Oryzias latipes: one gene and its partner. The protein of the gene in region 1 interacts with the protein of each later gene in a pairwise test. Links are inferred from orthologs where the notes say so. Each region holds a gene or a part of one and is shown in the gene's direction. Other genes may lie near its edges.

Evidence for each region.
Region 2: the proteins of polr3c (region 1) and polr3gl interact in binary tests that used the Homo sapiens proteins (3 or more experiments, as listed by UniProt). The link is inferred for Oryzias latipes from reciprocal best matches to the Homo sapiens genes POLR3C and POLR3GL.

The regions. Positions count from the first base shown.
Region 1 is NC_019874.2:18,838,161-18,846,525, forward strand, and holds polr3c (DNA-directed RNA polymerase III subunit RPC3), read left to right. Parts: upstream 1-3,399; 5' UTR 3,400-3,518; intron 3,519-4,395; coding exon 4,396-4,542; intron 4,543-4,869; coding exon 4,870-5,134; intron 5,135-5,290; coding exon 5,291-5,580; intron 5,581-5,684; coding exon 5,685-5,789; intron 5,790-6,221; coding exon 6,222-6,395; intron 6,396-6,483; coding exon 6,484-6,535; intron 6,536-6,635; coding exon 6,636-6,696; intron 6,697-6,782; coding exon 6,783-6,933; intron 6,934-7,236; coding exon 7,237-7,338; intron 7,339-7,422; coding exon 7,423-7,472; intron 7,473-7,560; coding exon 7,561-7,710; intron 7,711-7,795; coding exon 7,796-7,880; 3' UTR 7,881-8,052; downstream 8,053-8,365. Other genes in the region: E3 ubiquitin-protein ligase RNF115, read right to left, coding at 179-462, 603-657, 826-884, 3,229-3,306. UniProt on the Homo sapiens protein: DNA-dependent RNA polymerase catalyzes the transcription of DNA into RNA using the four ribonucleoside triphosphates as substrates.
Region 2 is NC_019874.2:32,573,947-32,582,311, reverse strand, and holds polr3gl (DNA-directed RNA polymerase III subunit RPC7-like), read left to right. Parts: upstream 1-3,419; 5' UTR 3,420-3,578; exon of another isoform or gene 3,579-3,614; intron 3,615-4,557; 5' UTR 4,558-4,600; coding exon 4,601-4,705; intron 4,706-4,956; exon of another isoform or gene 4,957-5,023; coding exon 5,024-5,153; intron 5,154-5,231; coding exon 5,232-5,300; intron 5,301-5,377; coding exon 5,378-5,434; intron 5,435-5,548; coding exon 5,549-5,637; intron 5,638-5,702; coding exon 5,703-5,837; intron 5,838-5,905; coding exon 5,906-5,992; 3' UTR 5,993-6,904; downstream 6,905-8,365. Other genes in the region: immunoglobulin superfamily DCC subclass member 3, read right to left, coding at 1,212-1,260. UniProt on the Homo sapiens protein: DNA-dependent RNA polymerase catalyzes the transcription of DNA into RNA using the four ribonucleoside triphosphates as substrates. Specific peripheric component of RNA polymerase III which synthesizes small RNAs, such as 5S rRNA and tRNAs.

The DNA.
Region 1 (8,365 bases):
ATGGAACGTAACACAGCATGTCTGGTGAGAGCATAACACGACTGACTTCAGCAGCCACAATCAACTTTAGAGCCCACATCAGAGCCGCTACAGGTGACTGTGGCTCGAAACACGGAGGAAGCAACACAACAATGGATGTTGTGTCAAAAGACTGAAAAGCAAAGTTAAACGAGTTTACCCCTCCACAGCAGGTGAGCGCTCTGGTCTGCTGCTGCCTCTGAACCGGTATCTCCTCTGGCTGTGAAGGCGAGGTGGGCGGCCTGGTCCGAAGTGTTCATTGGATCCTAACAGACCACCCATCTGCCCCCCGAGACCAGCTGGAACCGATCCCCCGATCGGTCCAGCCCCCAGTCCTCCGAAATCACTAAAACTCCCCAAACGACTGCTGGAGAGCCTTGGCTCGGAGTCAGGAGTGTCACTGTCTGTTGTAAACGGCCTCTCCAATAACAGGAGGTGCCACAGCTGTAGAGACGTTAGGATTAACAAACAGTTATGGAAAGGGACATGAAAAAAAAAAAAAAGACAGGGAGACAGAGAGATCAAAAAATGGGGGGAAAACTCAAAAATTAATCATAATTTAATATGATCAGAGTCAAACGTACCTCTGCAAACTGTGTGGCTGTGTCATCTATCCCATTTGCACCGCCGTCTAGAAGACTAATGAAAGCAACACAAACAGGGGAGGTACAACAATCTCAATAAACGCGTACTAAACTGATCAACTAAAAGGTCACGCTGGAAGAAGATTCAATAAACAGATAACTGACAGAGCAACAAACATGTATTCACTTTTAAGGTTCTGTTCCAGAAACAGAGGTCTCTTACCTGGAATCCTCTGTTACTTCCTCTATGAAACCTGAATCACATCTTGGACAGATGTATTCCTGCAAGAAAAAGAACAAGGACAGAGTCACGCTTATTTATAAAGGCTGAGGAAAAAAAGAGACAACTAAACATCGAACTATGGCCACATTTTTCATTTCAATTGGGTTTCAGCACATCAGAAAGAAAAAAAAGTAACATTTAGATGTAAAAACTTGGTTTTACATTTAGTATACATCCTATTGAAGATGCCAAACACAATACAAGTAAAAAAGATTCAAATGACAGTAGATATTTCAACACACCAATGTGTACGATGTTAACATCCTGGTTTAAGGGCTGTTGAAAGTACATTAGAAATACTATAAGCAAACATGTCCATCATTAAGACTTTCCAGTTAAATGTACTTTTAATTGTTTACATCTTAATATGTTGAAAAACAGACATTTTAAAAGCCTGTGCAACTGTTTTCATGAGCCAAACCATTTTTGGGCTTGTGTTTTATTAATGTAAAATACAACACATATCGTGATACTTCAAAGGATAATTGTTAAGAAAAATGTATGATGTTTTTTTTTTTTTGATTGGCTGATTAAAAGCATAAATAATGACTTTCATTTAGTGTTTCAACATATGAATGCAACCAAAGAGGTACGGCTGGTCTGCCAACCACACCTTAGGGGGAGGGCGTTCAAAACCAGCATGACAGCTTGGAGCAAACACAACCAGCAAGCAGCCTTTGCAGCAGGATGGATCATATGTTGTCCTCTCATTTAAAGATAGAGCTTTTCACTCAGGGGAACAGGATTGAGGTCACTTAGCATAAAAACAAAGTTGTAAGCCATTACGGCAACACCTGAAGTACAATACTTGTAGCATTAAAAAGTGGGTCACAACAATAATGTCTTTTTAGATTGTAGTTCACTCGATTTGGAGTGCTAAATATACAAATGAAATTCACAAATGTTCTTAAGGTTGAATTGAAAAAAAAAGTGACTATGAATTACAGAAATTATTTTGGTCAAAGCCTTTGAATTCAGATTTACTCACAAAACTCACACAATTACTTGTAATAAATAAATGTTATGTATTGTTTTGTTGATTTTTATAATTTACTTTATATTTCAGGTTTAAAAAATGTTTGATATTATCTTTGCAGTTGCTTGATCCAACACAGAAAAAGAAAATCACAAAGAGACAAGTGAGTAAATCCAGAATTAGTGACCAATTATCTGAAATTTAAAAATAATGGGGAGGCAATAGTCACAGCTCTGTTTCCAGTTTACTGGTCGATTAAACAAATAGACGTTTGGATGTTTATTTTTACTTTATGGCACAGTAAATCACAGAACCCTCCATCTCTGTATCAGTCTAACAGATTGCTTCTAAGAAGCTAACAGGTTGCACTTTTTAATTTAAACTTTCAGTCAAAATCTAGACACAACATAAAGCAGTGTTTCCTAAAATTCGGGTTATATAACAAAATTCATTTACTCAATACATCAGCCAGTTATAAGCTAAATTTATAAAACATGTAAGAGAACACATTCATGTTAGAAATTCAGATATTTCTGGTATTTATTTTAACCTGTCCAAATTTTTTCTTGTCCAAAATGAAATACTATAATCATTATCATCAACAAAATAACTTATATTTCAATGATTGAAAAATGTGTGTCAATTTTTATTTATTTACCAAGGAACATTTGTTTCAAAAACACAAAACGGAGTCAACAAGAGAAAAAAAACTACAAATAAAAAAACAAACACTTACAGTTAGTTAAATGTTTTTGTAAAAACGTAGGAATGTCCTTTTAAATAAATGGCCTTTTAAAGAATATTTGTAAAATAGTAATAGTAGGCCATTTAAACGCCTCTTCTGCCGACATTGTTACGTTTGACTTTAACACTAAAACTGAAAGTAAACCACAACGTATGACATCTACAGAAAACTTCCCCTGCTTATACTGCCACTGCTGTTAACAGAAACAAAAACTAAATGTGTATATATACTGAAAAGGAAAATCTGAGTGACAGTTTATGAATAAATAAACTCTCAGATTAATTCGGGCTGTTTTGTTCAAAAACATGCATCTATCATTTACCACCAAGCACACAACTTCTACCTTGAAGCACAGAGATTAGCGTAAGTATTTTAAAACAGGCACGAATAACAAGACCTACTATCGTTAGTTTTAAGAGTAGCTTAGTTTCCCCTAAAACGACTAACCGGAGTTTCTTTACTGACTTAACAACAACAAACACTGCTATATGCTAATAGCCTATGGGCTTAGCTGTAGCAAGAAGTAGCCGAAACAAACAGCTACCTGCCGGAAGGCAGACTTGTCAGCCGCGCATAACACTCAACATAAAATGAGCGAATAACCAAAAATAACGCGACTTACCGGGAGTTTGGGATTTACTTCTCCCTTACAACAGTGACAGAAAAACCGATGCGAGGGAACAGCCGCAGCCTCCGCCATCTTCCCGGAGCAGCACAAACACTGACGTCGGTCCTCCACTAGCTGAAGGGAGCTGTCCGCCCCCAGCCCGGCATGCACTGCGGCACTGTTGTCGAATCACAGCAAGCAAAAAACCGGGAGCGGAAGTGTCTGTTTGTTGTCATCGACTAGCCTCATGCGCTAAACTATCTGCACGGAGTCTGCTTTCATTGCGAGATCTGAAATCGAAAAAGGTTTGTGAAAAAAAAAAAATGCCAGGCTTATACCATCAAATATTCAGAGATAATTTAGTAAATTCCCAGCATGCAATTGTAATTTTACTATCCAAAAGCCCAAGGGGGAAAGAACTTGAACAACTGTTGACTTTTCAAATTAGAAGAGATAGTTTACATGCACTGTATGCTATAAGGGAAACTACTTAATGACCGATCTAACTTTTTATTTTTAGATTTTACCTGTTGGAATAAGTGGTGCCTGTTTTAACAAAGTAAAATACTATTATTGTTGTTTGTAGTTCGTAAACTAGATGTATAGAGATAACATAACTAAAAAAAGTGCTGTTTATTGAAAAACTAAACTGAACTAAAATAAAATTGATTTATTGTTTATATTGGTTCATGTTGAACGATCAAATCCGATCCGATTCACTGATCTAAAATCGATCCAGAACATCTTTAGCCAAGAATTCAACCAGTGGGACTCAGAAAATAAATACCTGGATTCTGAACAGTGCAGGGGAAGTTTTCCACATTCCCTGTATTTTTTTGCAACATAATTAAGTGTAAATTAAACATGTTTACAAACAAACAAGTAAAAAAGAATGAATGGACAGTTTTACCTACATTTTGCTGCCATTCGATGTGTTGTCTGTTTTAACGTTATAGTTAGAAAAAAAGCCTACTGTGCCTTAATCCAAATGGTATTTTCCAATATTGATAATAATTGATTTATTTCCTTTTAAAATTAATTCATATTGGTATAGTTTGATTCGATTAACATCTTGCCTCAGATGGATGAATCGATTCATCTTTACAGCCTACTAAAAGCACATGCATTAGTTCTTATTATTAACTTAGTGGTTTTCATTGAACTGTTGGTGTGTTTGTGCAGATGACAGCCCAGGAGGTCCGTCTGTGTGGTCTTCTGCTGCAGGAGCACTTTGGAGAAGTGGTGGAGAAAGTGGGAAGAAATCTGCTCAAAAGTGGAACGCAAAATTTAAGAGCCATTGTTCATGAAACTGGCTTGTCAGTGGATCTGGTAGGTCAACGCAAGACTGAGATTGCATTCGCTGTAGTCAGATGTTCTTTGAAAAATAATCAAAATTATTCATTATTTGAATTATTATTCAAAGCAAACGGTCACATATATTACTATGTCCCTTGCAATATGGCAAAAGTTAGTTCTTTAAAGATATTTGAACAATAAGAGAAACAAAATTATAATGTAATTATTCAGGTAATATATATTCATATTTGAAAACAGTTTTACCTGAAACTGATTGCTTATCAGTTTTTTGTCAATACAATACAGTGATGTCTGGTAATGTTCATGTACTTTAACAGGACTTCTTCTTCTTTCATCAAGGTAAAGAAGTCTCTGTGCGTTCTTGTGCAACATGGAGCCTGTTCGTTTATTCAAGGTCGAAAAGGACCGGGGAGCCCGACGGAATACAAAGCCCACTGCGATCGGGTACTGAGAATTCTGCGCTACCCACGTTACATATACACAGCCAAAACGCTGTACGGCGACACCGGTGAGCTTATCATAGAGGAGCTGCTGCAGAGGGGCCACATGACGATGAGCAACACAGTTAAGACAGTCGCAGACCGTCTAACTCAGAGTATGGACGGTGAGCATCAGAATCAAACAAAAGACTGTCCATAAAAGAGATGATCTGTTTTCTGAAGGTTTTTTTTTCAGTTAAGCTTTGGATTGAGGCCTAAAATATCGCGATCAGTAGATTCATTTTCTAATGAATACTTCCTTTGATGTTTTGTTGATACAGAGGGGTCGAGCATGGATTATGGTGAAGTGTCCGCCACCTTTTCCAAACTGGTAGAGACTCATTTTCTCCAGCGCTGTCCCCCAGCAGCAGGAGCAGGAACGACAGGGAGCAGTCAGACTGCCAATTCGACTTCTGCAGCTCCTGCCAGCAGCACTGCACCCACACCGGAAAGCTTCCCCGACTGCTACAGGGTTCCTCAAGTGACACTCATAGGCCGGAGCAAACGCTCGCTCGCCAGCGAGGAAGGAGAGGACCAAAGAAATGCGAAAAAAGCGAAAATGGACCCAGAGGTCAGAGAGACGTTTGTTAAAGCAAGATGTTCACTGCATATGCTAAGACTTCTATGGTTGTGACTTCTGTTTGTCTTCTCATAACTTGGATCTTTGGTGCTCAGACTCATGGGGATGAGGGGATTTACTGGCAGGTGAACTTTGAACGGTTCCACCAGCATTTCCGGGATCAGACTATCATCAGTGCTGTCGCCAACAAACTAGATCAGGTGGGAATTCCACAAAACATTTCAAACTAACCATTTTTTTTATTCATTAAAAGAAAAACAGGTTTTGAAAAATAATTGCCTAGAAAAAAAAACCCAAATACATTTCCTCAGTGTATAATTATTTGATGGTTAAAAGTAAAAATGAATAGTATTTGAAAACCCTCTTTGTATGGCTGAAGGAATTTAGCATAAGCATTTGGTTGTTTGATAAGACTATCTGACTTTGAAGTATTGACCTTAAAATCAAAGAAAATTCAAATTTTAAATGAAATAAAGTGATAGTTTTTGGAAGTACTCCTAATAATTCCTCTTTTTTCTTGGATTGTTCTCTGTGCTTTAAATACTACAGCTTTTTACATTTATTTCATTATTAATTATTTATTATTATTATTTATTATTAACTAGCTGTCTTCTCACATCTTTCCTACCCAGACCAGCAGTGAAATAGTGAGAACCATGCTGAGGATGAGTGAGGTGACAACCTCTTCCACTGCCCCGTGCACAAAACCCCTTTCAGCCAATGAGATCTTCAGGTCCCTCCCAGCTACTTACAACATCCCCCGCCATATATTGGACCAGTACCTCACTCTGCTGGTGGATGACCCTGTAGGTCCTCCTCATCTCAAATATCTCTCTGATTTTTGCTTGGCTCCCCACAAAATGCTCAAAAAGTTTCCCACTTTTCCTTCCTAAGATGGAGTTTGTGGGGAAGGCTGGGGAAAGTGGAGGAGGAATGTATATTGTCAGTATCCTTTCTGCTCACTTGAAGGTTCAAACCATCCCACAGGTGTGCGTGTCATTCGCTACTAAACCCAAAACAAAAGCTTTCCCTAACTTTTCTGTCAGATCTGAACCAAGCATTGGCTAACCTGGCACGGGCCACCCTGGAGTCCATCGTACAAGAGAGGTACACCAGTGTGTGTGTTTGCTCTCCACACATACGGTTGCTATTGGGCTCCCATTGTTAATAAGATACCTTTTATTCATCCTCAGATTTGGCTCCAGATCAGCGCGCATCTTCCGCCTGTTGCTACGGAAACGTCATCTGGAGCAGAAGCAAGTGGAGGATTTCGCCATGATTCCAGCAAAAGAGGCTAAAGACATGTTGTACACTCTGCTCTCACAGAACCTGGTCCAGCTTCAGGTACGTGGATGTAAAATGGGTTTAAAGAAGGAACTGGATGAAAAGTTTACGATTTGTTTTAATCATACACCTGGATCTATCCTAAGACTAATTTTTTAACCTGGTGGTGAATTTTAAACATCTGAGCTGAAGTTATTTAATCCAAAACAGCATTGTTCTGTTTACCAATGTATATAGATTTATTTAAAAATACATGTGTTGAGTTCTCAAAGTTTGAACCAAGCAGCCATAGTTCTAGTTTTTTCTTTTTTTAGTACAATTTTTATTATCTGTAATTATCTCTTTTTTAAATGTATCCTCCAGGAAATCCCCAAAACACCAGACTTTGCTCCCTCTCGGACCTTCTATCTTTATACCGTCAACCAGCTGCCTACTGCGAGATTGCTGCTACAGAACTGTTACAAGGTGAGTCTGAAAACAAACTGGGAGCTTTAGAAAGCTGGATGGAGAGCCACAGGTGTATTATTTCATGCCTGCTTTCCTCTCCAGACAGTGGCCAACCTTATGGAGCGGCGGCTGTTTGAGGCCAAAGAAAGCAAGTGGGTCTTTGAATCATATTTTTCCTTGAAGTTTTACAAGAATGCAGGTACTGCTATGCGCCAAATGTGAATTATGTTTGTTTTTTAGGCGCCTTCTGGAGAAATCGCAACGAATCGAAGCTATTTTGGCGTCTCTGCAGGCCAGCGGGGCCGAACCCGAACAGCTCACTGAAGTGGAAGAAATGATCACCGCTCCTGAAAAGCAACAACTGGATAGCTTAAGGCTTCATGTTAACAAGTAAGAGAAGACGACAGAAACAAAAAATGTATATTTGGCAAAGTTTTTTAAACAGGTTTTAAATTTTCCTTTTTTTTCTTTCCAGATTAGATTCAGCAGAGAATCAAGTGGATGAAACAATCTTTCTTCTGGAGTCCTACATAAGTTCCTCTACAAAACCTACAAGTTAAGTCAGATTTGGAAGAATGACTGACACCCCACATTTTACTTAAAAATTATTTGATTTTGTTTTTTTGTCACAACAGTTTTAGAGTTTACAGCAAATATGTTTCGGTTAGAAGTGGATTTAAATCTGATTGTTTTTATTCCTTGCAAATAATAAACACAACAGGAGGAACCCTTTCCAAATGTTTTTTATTTCCCATCATGAAACAAAAAGCTGTAGAACCGAGTGAACATTTGAAATATAAAACCATGAACAAGTCTGCAAGTTAAATAAAAGAACTGTGGCTTAATACATTTTCAAATTCCTTAAAATTAAACTAAGGTTATTTACAAACATTGGGGTAAAAAGTATTTATTAGTCACTGATTCTGCAAGTTAATGAGAAGCCTGTAATGTTTATCATAGATATGCTTCAACTGTGGGAGACGGAAAGTAAAAAAGAATCCAGAATTGTTTTTTTTTTTATAGAATGTACTTGAATAATGGTGCG
Region 2 (8,365 bases), about 14 Mb from region 1:
GACCCGAGTGATGGCAACAACAAAGACAACAAAAAGAGATCCAGACACAACACACACACACACACACAGCCCAGAACCAAAACTGTGCTGACACCTCCCCAGACTCAAAGTCCAGGTTTAACAGAACCAGACTTACCCGTCTGTCTCATCTGCTCCGAGTTCTGAACCCTTCTGGACTTTGTTGGAACAGAACTGCAGAACCCCCACCACAGGAACATGACCCAAACCCAGAACATGTCCAGACCACTAAAGTTCTTCCAGACCTCAGAACTGGTGAGGCTGTGGTTCTAGAACTGGGTCATACATCCAAAGATGATGGTTCTGCAGAACTGGAGACTGTCTCCATCAGCTGCTGTCTTAAAGTCTGACAACGGAACCATTTTGGGTCCAAATCCTGATGGTTTGGCTGATTAGATTAGAGGCAGGACATGGGGGGGGGGGGGTCTGATCTCTGAACCTAAGGACTGGTTCCAAGGTTCTGGTCTGAATAAGGAGTCCAAGTTGCAGCAGATACAAATCCAGTCTAGCTCAGTTCTAATGAAGTCCTACAAAAACCCAGACCTGCTCCTGGGGGGTACAGACAGCATGACCCCCCCTCCTGAGAACCAGGCTTCTGAAAGCAGGATAAGGGTTGCAGTCGCCTCCCATCTGGGTCCTCTGAGCTGCCCCCCGACCTGACCTCTACATCACCCCCCCCCCCCCCACTGGGGGGCGTGTGACGTCGCACGCTCACATTTGACCATGAACTTCACACTGACTGAACCATGCAGGTCCAATCTGCACCCCCAAACCAGACTGCCCCCCTCACACCATGCCCCCTCTCTGCTCCCACCCCCCAGGGACAGATGTCCCAGTCTGGCCCTGACAACTACTCCTATGGAGGTCCACAGAGCAAGAACCGTGGTCTTCACGGTGCTGAACCCGGCCCGCTGCTCTCTGGACCTCTTTGCCCTCAGCAGTGGCTTACAGGAGCCGCTTCAGCAAAAACTCATTGAATCAAATCTGGAACCAGACTGGGTCTGGTTTTTGGAGGAGTCTCCGTCTTCTACCTTCTAATCTAGACAACAACCCTGCAGGTCCAAGACCAACAAACAACCAACCATGAATGAGAAATGAAAAAACGTAGAAACAAAGAATGGAAGTGAATCACATGAAGCCCCCAAACGCCACCAGAACCTGTGGTTCTGCTACAGGCTGGTTCTGAAACGTACCTGAGCAGCAGAGACTCAGCAGAATCATCCAGCTTCCTGTCGTCTTCATGTTGGTCCTCTTTGGACCCGAACCATTGGAGATGAAGGTCAGCAGCTTCTCCAGGAACCCACACCTCCACTCTTCAGCCTCCTCCTTGCCTCCTCTTCCTCCAAGCTGCAGGAACTCAGATCTTTGTCACACTGACGTCCCCCCAAACTGAACCCAAGTCTGACTGGGCGGGGGCGGAGCAGATGCTGAGTGTGGGTGGGGGCTGATGTGGTGACGGCGACCCTGGGGGGGTTGAGATCCTGCCTGAGGTGGGTGTGTAGCTGATGTGACGAGCAGAGGAGTAAGATGTGAAAAATAGACGGGCGGGGGCTAAACCGCAGCTGGGGGGGGGTGAGGCTGGCTCCATCCTCCAGGACTGAGGGTCCGGACTCTCGGATCAGGTTCAGTTTTAAAGTCGTCATCGTCCAGATCAGGGGGGGGGGGACAAAATAAAGCAGGGAAGTAAAGTCCCGGGCAGAACTCAATATTTACTGACCCTAACAGCCAAAGCTTGATGTTACAAAGATGAGAAATGAAATTAGAAATAAAAGACATCAGTGGTTTTCTTTCCCTATTTAAACAAATAAATAAAGTACTTCTCAGGAAATCTTTGTCAAAGCCAACAACAAAAGAACCAAAAATAATGTCATTCAACAAAACTCCAACATTTGACTCTGAACATTCCAGGCCTTGCAGTGGGAAAAGTGCCTCAGACACAGAAATATTCCAGCTGTTTGCTGCACATTGGTCTAAGCCAGATTCCTGCCATCTTTTCTTAGCTGCAGCTTCACCAAAGTCTGGGGTCAGACTGTGAGATTTTAGCAGGAATGTCCTCAAAGCCTGTCGGCCATCTTTCTTTCGGTCATTTCTTTGTGAAGTACCGGGTGCCATGTCGCCGACCCCTGCTGAACTACGATTGGGATGTCGTGACAGGGCGTCCACATTCTGCCAGAACGATACTTTATCTCATAATCATCATGGCCCATTTAAGAGCCAAGAACTCCAGCTTCATAGAGCTGCAGTTCTGCATGTTACGCTCTGTAGCTTTTAGCCCCCTACTGGCATGGCAATGGCCGCACACTGCCACCCTGCTCCTGGGACAAAACTGCACCAAGGCCATTGTGGCTGGCATCTACTTCCAGAATAAAGGGTAGTGTGAAGTCAGCACAGGCCAAAACTGGCGCTGACGTCAATTTCTGCTCACAGCACCAAGATTCCTGTGGCAGTATGGTTTCCCCTTGGATGCCTCCAGTAGAAGACTTAAAATGAAGAGCACAGGACTCTCCGACAGGAAACCAAGACTGTGCTTTTAAGAAAATAGACACCCTTTATTACAAATAGTATTAAAATTCCTATTCTGAAAGACACCCAAAAGAGTTAACCAAACCACAAGGGCCATCATGCCCAGCCCACACAGTCAGCTGCACCCAGCCGTGCGCTCTGTTGCGGCACAACAGGCTCAATGCCACGCCCCTTGCGTACAGTGGCAGTAACCGACGCCAGTCCAGGGTGGTGGGACACTGGGCTCTGGTTGTGCCCGGGGCCACAGAAGGCCGGAAGGGGGAACCCGCTCCGATAGCTCTCGATCCGGCTTCATCACGCCGCTCCCCAGTGCGTGGATGGACGGCACTCGCTGAAACGGTGTACAGAGCACACACGATCCCCGGAAATCCCGGCCGTGGCACCGCTCCTGGACAACGGTGCACCAAGGGGTCAGCGGGTTGGATAGAGCAGAAATGCAAACAAACGATGGGAAACAAAAGAAACAGCGGCACCTGCCCCCCAGCTCAGGAGGACTCTCCACAGGAGTCGCATGAGCGGCCAAACACTGCCTGCGATCCAGCTATGGTTATGGTTATGGTTATGGTTATGGCCCCACACACAGCCAAAGGCTGTTGTAAACTTAGTTCATAAATGTTAAATGAGCTGTGATGGTAGCATGCTGCTGCTGTTCTGCTGCTGCTGTTCTGCTGCTACTTCTGCTCCAATAAAACATGTCAGTTGACATGGACAGAGTGACTCTATGGGGGGGGGGGCGGGGGGGTCTCGCGCGGGGAGTAATTCAGGGTAGAACCGCCACTGCTATCGACCATAAATGTAGCTGGATTTCTGTCCTCCTGTCCGATAGGGGGCAGAAACGCGCGGCCCAACGCAGAATGCAAGCGCGCGCAAACTGCCGTAGGACATTTCCGGTGGGTAGTAGGCGGGGCGCCTGTAAAGCGAGGTCCGGGGACGGTAAACAACCGTTCGTGGTGGAGTTTGTGAAAGTCTGAACCGAACATGGAGCGCGCCGCGGGAGCGCGCACTAAGCTGCAGCCGTAACGGAAAAGCGGGAACAGGTCAGAGGAGTCATACCCGACCGAGCGCGAGCCCAGGTCAGAAGGGAGCCCGCAGGGTTCTGATGGAGCTTCACGATCAGCCTGATCGATGAGGCTGATGACGTCAGCCGAAGCCCCTGAATCAAAAACCAAAACATTTTCCTCGTTTCTCTGAAAGCAGCTCAGAACCACAGCGACCAGAGAGGCGTGACGTCATCAGGAAGCAGGGGTTCAAACGTGGGTTCTTAGGCCCCACATGCTGCAGTGTCGTCAGTGACATCATCACATACGTCATCAGGGCTGGAATGGTTCCCTGTCGAGACGGATCCGATTCCTAGTCCATATCTAGTCAATGCAGAATTCAGTCGCCGTTTTAACGCCGCCGCCAGTGATTGGTCCGAGTTGGTCTGAGTCATCGTTTCTATAGCAACCACACTGACCAACCAGGAGTGAGCTTGTTGAAAGGCCACACCCACTTGAAAGCAGGTTACAGAAATCAGTCAAACTTGGGGTTAGGGTCAGCAGGCTCCACCCACTTTCATTGAGGCGTCTGATTGGTCAGTTTATACCTTGAACTACAGAAATGAAATGAAAAATGAGGATTATCAGGAAGAGGTTCTAAAGAATCAGATCCAGAGCGGTTCCTCTGACCCATAGAACGACTGAGGAACAGCCGTTTGTAGATGTCTACGGGATTTTCCTGTTTGGAACGCTAGGGGGCGGGGCCACTCGGTCCAGTTCCCACATGCAGTCACTGGTTTATTCCCGTTTTTTCCTCTGGAAATGCCTGTATACTGCCACCTGCTGGAACAGACGCTACATGACATCAGGTTCTGAGGGGATGGAAGGAACAACCGAAAACGATCAAACACACCTGAAAGGCCTTGATGCGCTTCCCTCTGACCTGAAAAGGGGGAGTGGTCATTGGGCTGTGTGACAGGGGCGGGGCTTACCCCGTGGACGTATCCTGATTTACAGTGGGGTCCTGTTGTGTCTTTAGGGCGGTTCTGGCTCGGTCCGGTTTTGTCTGAGGGGGACCAGCCATGGCGGGACGAGGGCGGGGCCGTAGGCCTTTCGGCACGGACTCGAGCATCAGCAGGGGAGAAGGTCTCCCCCCAGGACTTCAGCAGCCCACGCCTGTGTTTCCTGTAAGCCCCGCCCACACCAGGAAAACCCCTCATTTATATTTAAGTGTTATTCTTTTTGGTTGAATGAAATCCCTCTGTTGTTGTTTTCATTGTTTGTTAAAGCTGTTCATGTCATTCTGAACCTTGTGGGTTATTATGGGATGTCACTGACGTCTACGTTAGGCAGACATTTATCGTCTCGACGTGAACCGTAACAAACAACAGATGCAGGAAAGAGGAGCTCTGACATTTTTCTGCTCTGACACCAACAGTTGGGGTAATGCGCTGATTTTGAAGCACTGAATTCTGGGATTTGAAGTTGGTGGATTTGGTGTCCAGGTGATGGAGCAGAAGCCCCTCCCCCTGGCAGGTGGAGAAGAAGCAGAGTATCTATTGGCCCTGAAGCAGGATTTTAGAGGAGTGATGAAGAATCTGCCATTCTTCATCAAGCCAGCAGCAGCACAGCGAGGTCACACACGTGCACACACACACGCGCGCACACACACACGCAGTCTTATTTTGAAAGTCCTGCTTTCTTCCTGTGCAGATGTTCAGCGCTACTCGGACAAATATCACAGCAGCGAGCAGACGAACAGCCTCACGGACTGGAACCTGGGTGAGACGCCGTTACCACGGTAACATCCAATGAAAACGCCATCAGAACCTTCATGTCTGCACGTCTCTGGATTTCAGACTGGAGACGATTCCCCAGAGAGCTGCAGGTCCACATCAGGAGGAGAGTCAGAGAAGGCGAGTAATCCCATTACTCAGTACTCTGGGTACCTTACTGACTCGTCTGAACAGTATTCATCAGCAGTAATCAGATTACTCAGGGGGGTGAGCATCAGCTGCTGTCTCCCTCAGGTCTGGCCTTCAGCACCATGGATAGTTCTGTGCCAGTCCAGAAGAAGAAGAAGAAGAAGGAGGAAGAGGAGGTGCTGCTCAAACTGGAGGTGAAGGGTTTCTATAGAACCTCTGATGATGATGATGATGATGATGATGATGGCTTTAATGGAAGTGTCTGCAGACCCTGGAGAAGAAGGAGGAGCATGAGCAGAGCTCAGAGGAGGAGGAGGGAGGGGTGAAGAAGAAGCCGGAGGAGGAGGAGGGAGCAGAGGCAGAGGAGGAGTATGATGAGGAAGAACTGGAGGAGGTACGTGGTCAGCAGGCCTGGGTCAGAACCACGGAGGCTCTGCAGGTCTAACTGGACCCTCTGTGCAGGAAACCGACTACATCATGTCGTACTTCGACAACGGCGAGGAATTCGGCGGCGACAGCGACGACAACATGGACGAGGCCATTTACTGAGCAGCTGCTGCACGTGCACGCCACGTGCACGCGTGTGACTGAAGAGGCAGTCCAACCTGGTGTCACCTGCTGCTCCAATAAACAGACGGTCACGTGACCTCGTGTGTCGACCTGCAGCCAACAGTCTGACGTTTGATCCTTTCGGGCCGTACCATACTTCACCACCAGGGGGGGCCGACGTCCCACCTACTGTTGGCGCTGGAGCTTCTGCTTCCAGGAGGTGACGTCAGCCTGAAAGCTTCAGTTTAGTTTTTCATTTCAAACACAAAACCAACATGGTGGTTTAAAAGACATAAAATAATAGAGTGTTCTTGAAAAGGAGTGTTCCACCCCCCCCTTTTCACAAAACCTGATGGTGTACGTATTTAATACACGCATTACTATTTACAGATGGTACAAAACGTTCACGGTACTATTCTGCATGGAGACTGTGCTAAAGTGACAGTTTTTGTTTAATCCTTTCTGGCCTCATCCAGATCTATTAGTGACTTCTTGTAGGTTTTTTTGAATACATGTAAACTTTTGGTTGTAAACCTTCATCCAATCTGTTCCATAAATCCACAATTAGATAAACACATTTTCTTTTTGTTGTGTGAATGGATTACTTTAGTGTCAGTTGTTTTCTCGTCTCTGTCTGAACATTTGCTGAAAGCTTCAGGGCTGCGTCTGGATGGACTTTCAAGTGTGGTTGTACTCAAAGCTACGGTGGCCCTGAAGGTCAAACCCCTCAACACTAAAGCATGTCAAAGCTCAACATGACATGTTAGAAATCAAAGCTAAAGACCAGAAACTAAAACCCAGAACATGGAGGCTCTGATATTCCAGACAAACGGGTTCCTGGCTGAGTCACAGCTCTGCTCACGGCACGACGAAATAAACGAGACGAAATAAACGAGGATTTTAGTGACCAAACTTCATCCATTTTTAGTTTCAAGTTTGTCTTAGATTTACTGCAGTCAGAATTTGATGCTTTATTTCATAAACGTCTGAAGAGGGTAGTGAAGATTCCCCACAGTGACGTGCACGGGCCTCCGCCTCAGAACATCTGGTTCTGTGTGGGCAGAACTGTTCATGAAGGTGAGCAGTGGTGACCTTTGCCCTGCTGATCCTGCAGATCCACGTCTGGAAAAGGGCCTAAAGCTCCGCCCCCTTGTGAGCCCCATGCTGTTCTCAGCCAATCAGGGCCTCCTGAGCCGCTCAGTGTTGAGCTCAGCTGTAACATGAAATGCCTGGATGTGCAGGACATGAGGCGCACACCCAGAACAGAACCACCTTTGCTCCACTTTCCCAGAACCCCCTGCTGGAGTCAGCTAATCCCAAACTGGACCGAGCGACCCGGTCCGTTCTGCTGCTGAACCCTAGACCGGCTCCTGTGGGCGACTTTAAGTGTCACCATGTTTGCATGACCCAGATAACCAAAATCCAGTCATTTGACTTCATAGCTGCTCATGTAACTGCCCCCCCCCCCCCCCCCCCCCCAGCATGTGTGGGGTCGTACAGTTGAGAGGTGGGTACCTGATGGACGCCTGAGGGGGTGGAGCTAAGAATCAGAACGCTTCAGTGTTTCTGCCAAGGACAAACTAAAAATGACCAGAACATCTTTCTAAGAAGAGGAAACCTGAACCCAGACTGGAGTCCAGAGGGTCGGGCCGGGCCGGCCCAGAACTTCCTGCTCAGTCCCCGATCCTGGAGCTCCGTCTGCAGCAGACAGGATCCTACCATCGGTCCAGGAGCAACAGCAGCTTTCAAAGCGTCTCATGTTTCATCTGATTTCTGCTCCAAGAACTCTCCATCTGAGTCTGAGGCAGAACTGTTGTCCTTTAAATAAAGCTTTGATTCCATGAACTTGGTTTATTCTCAGCTGCTGCAGACATCGGTCAGTCTGGAGCTGTGATGCACTTTATGCACCAGCATGTCTGTGGAAAACAGCCAAGGCACAGAGGAGAGGAGAGGAAATCCTCAAAGCAAACGGATTCATGGAGGCCATGCCGCCCGCCTCTGCACAGCCACAGAGCAAAGCCCGTGATCCGGTCAGACCAGACATCCCGTTTCTGAGCTCCAGGATTGGATCCTGATCTGAAATGAGATGTTCCAGATGAGATAGGCTTTATTTACCCCAGGATGGGGACAGTCTGTTGTCTCGGCAGCACAGGAGACAGTCGAATAGCGAAGTTGACCCTGAAAATCAGGATTCAGATTTGGTGATCCAGTCCGTATTAAATTCCGCTGTCAGGTATTTCAAAGGTTGGATTGAATCCTGGATCAGGTTGAGGCGGATCCTGTGTTGGTTTCTGTGCATTTAGCAAACCCGATCTGAAATGTCATTCTCAGTGTTTACTCTTCCAAAAACAGACTCAATATTCTCACTAAATT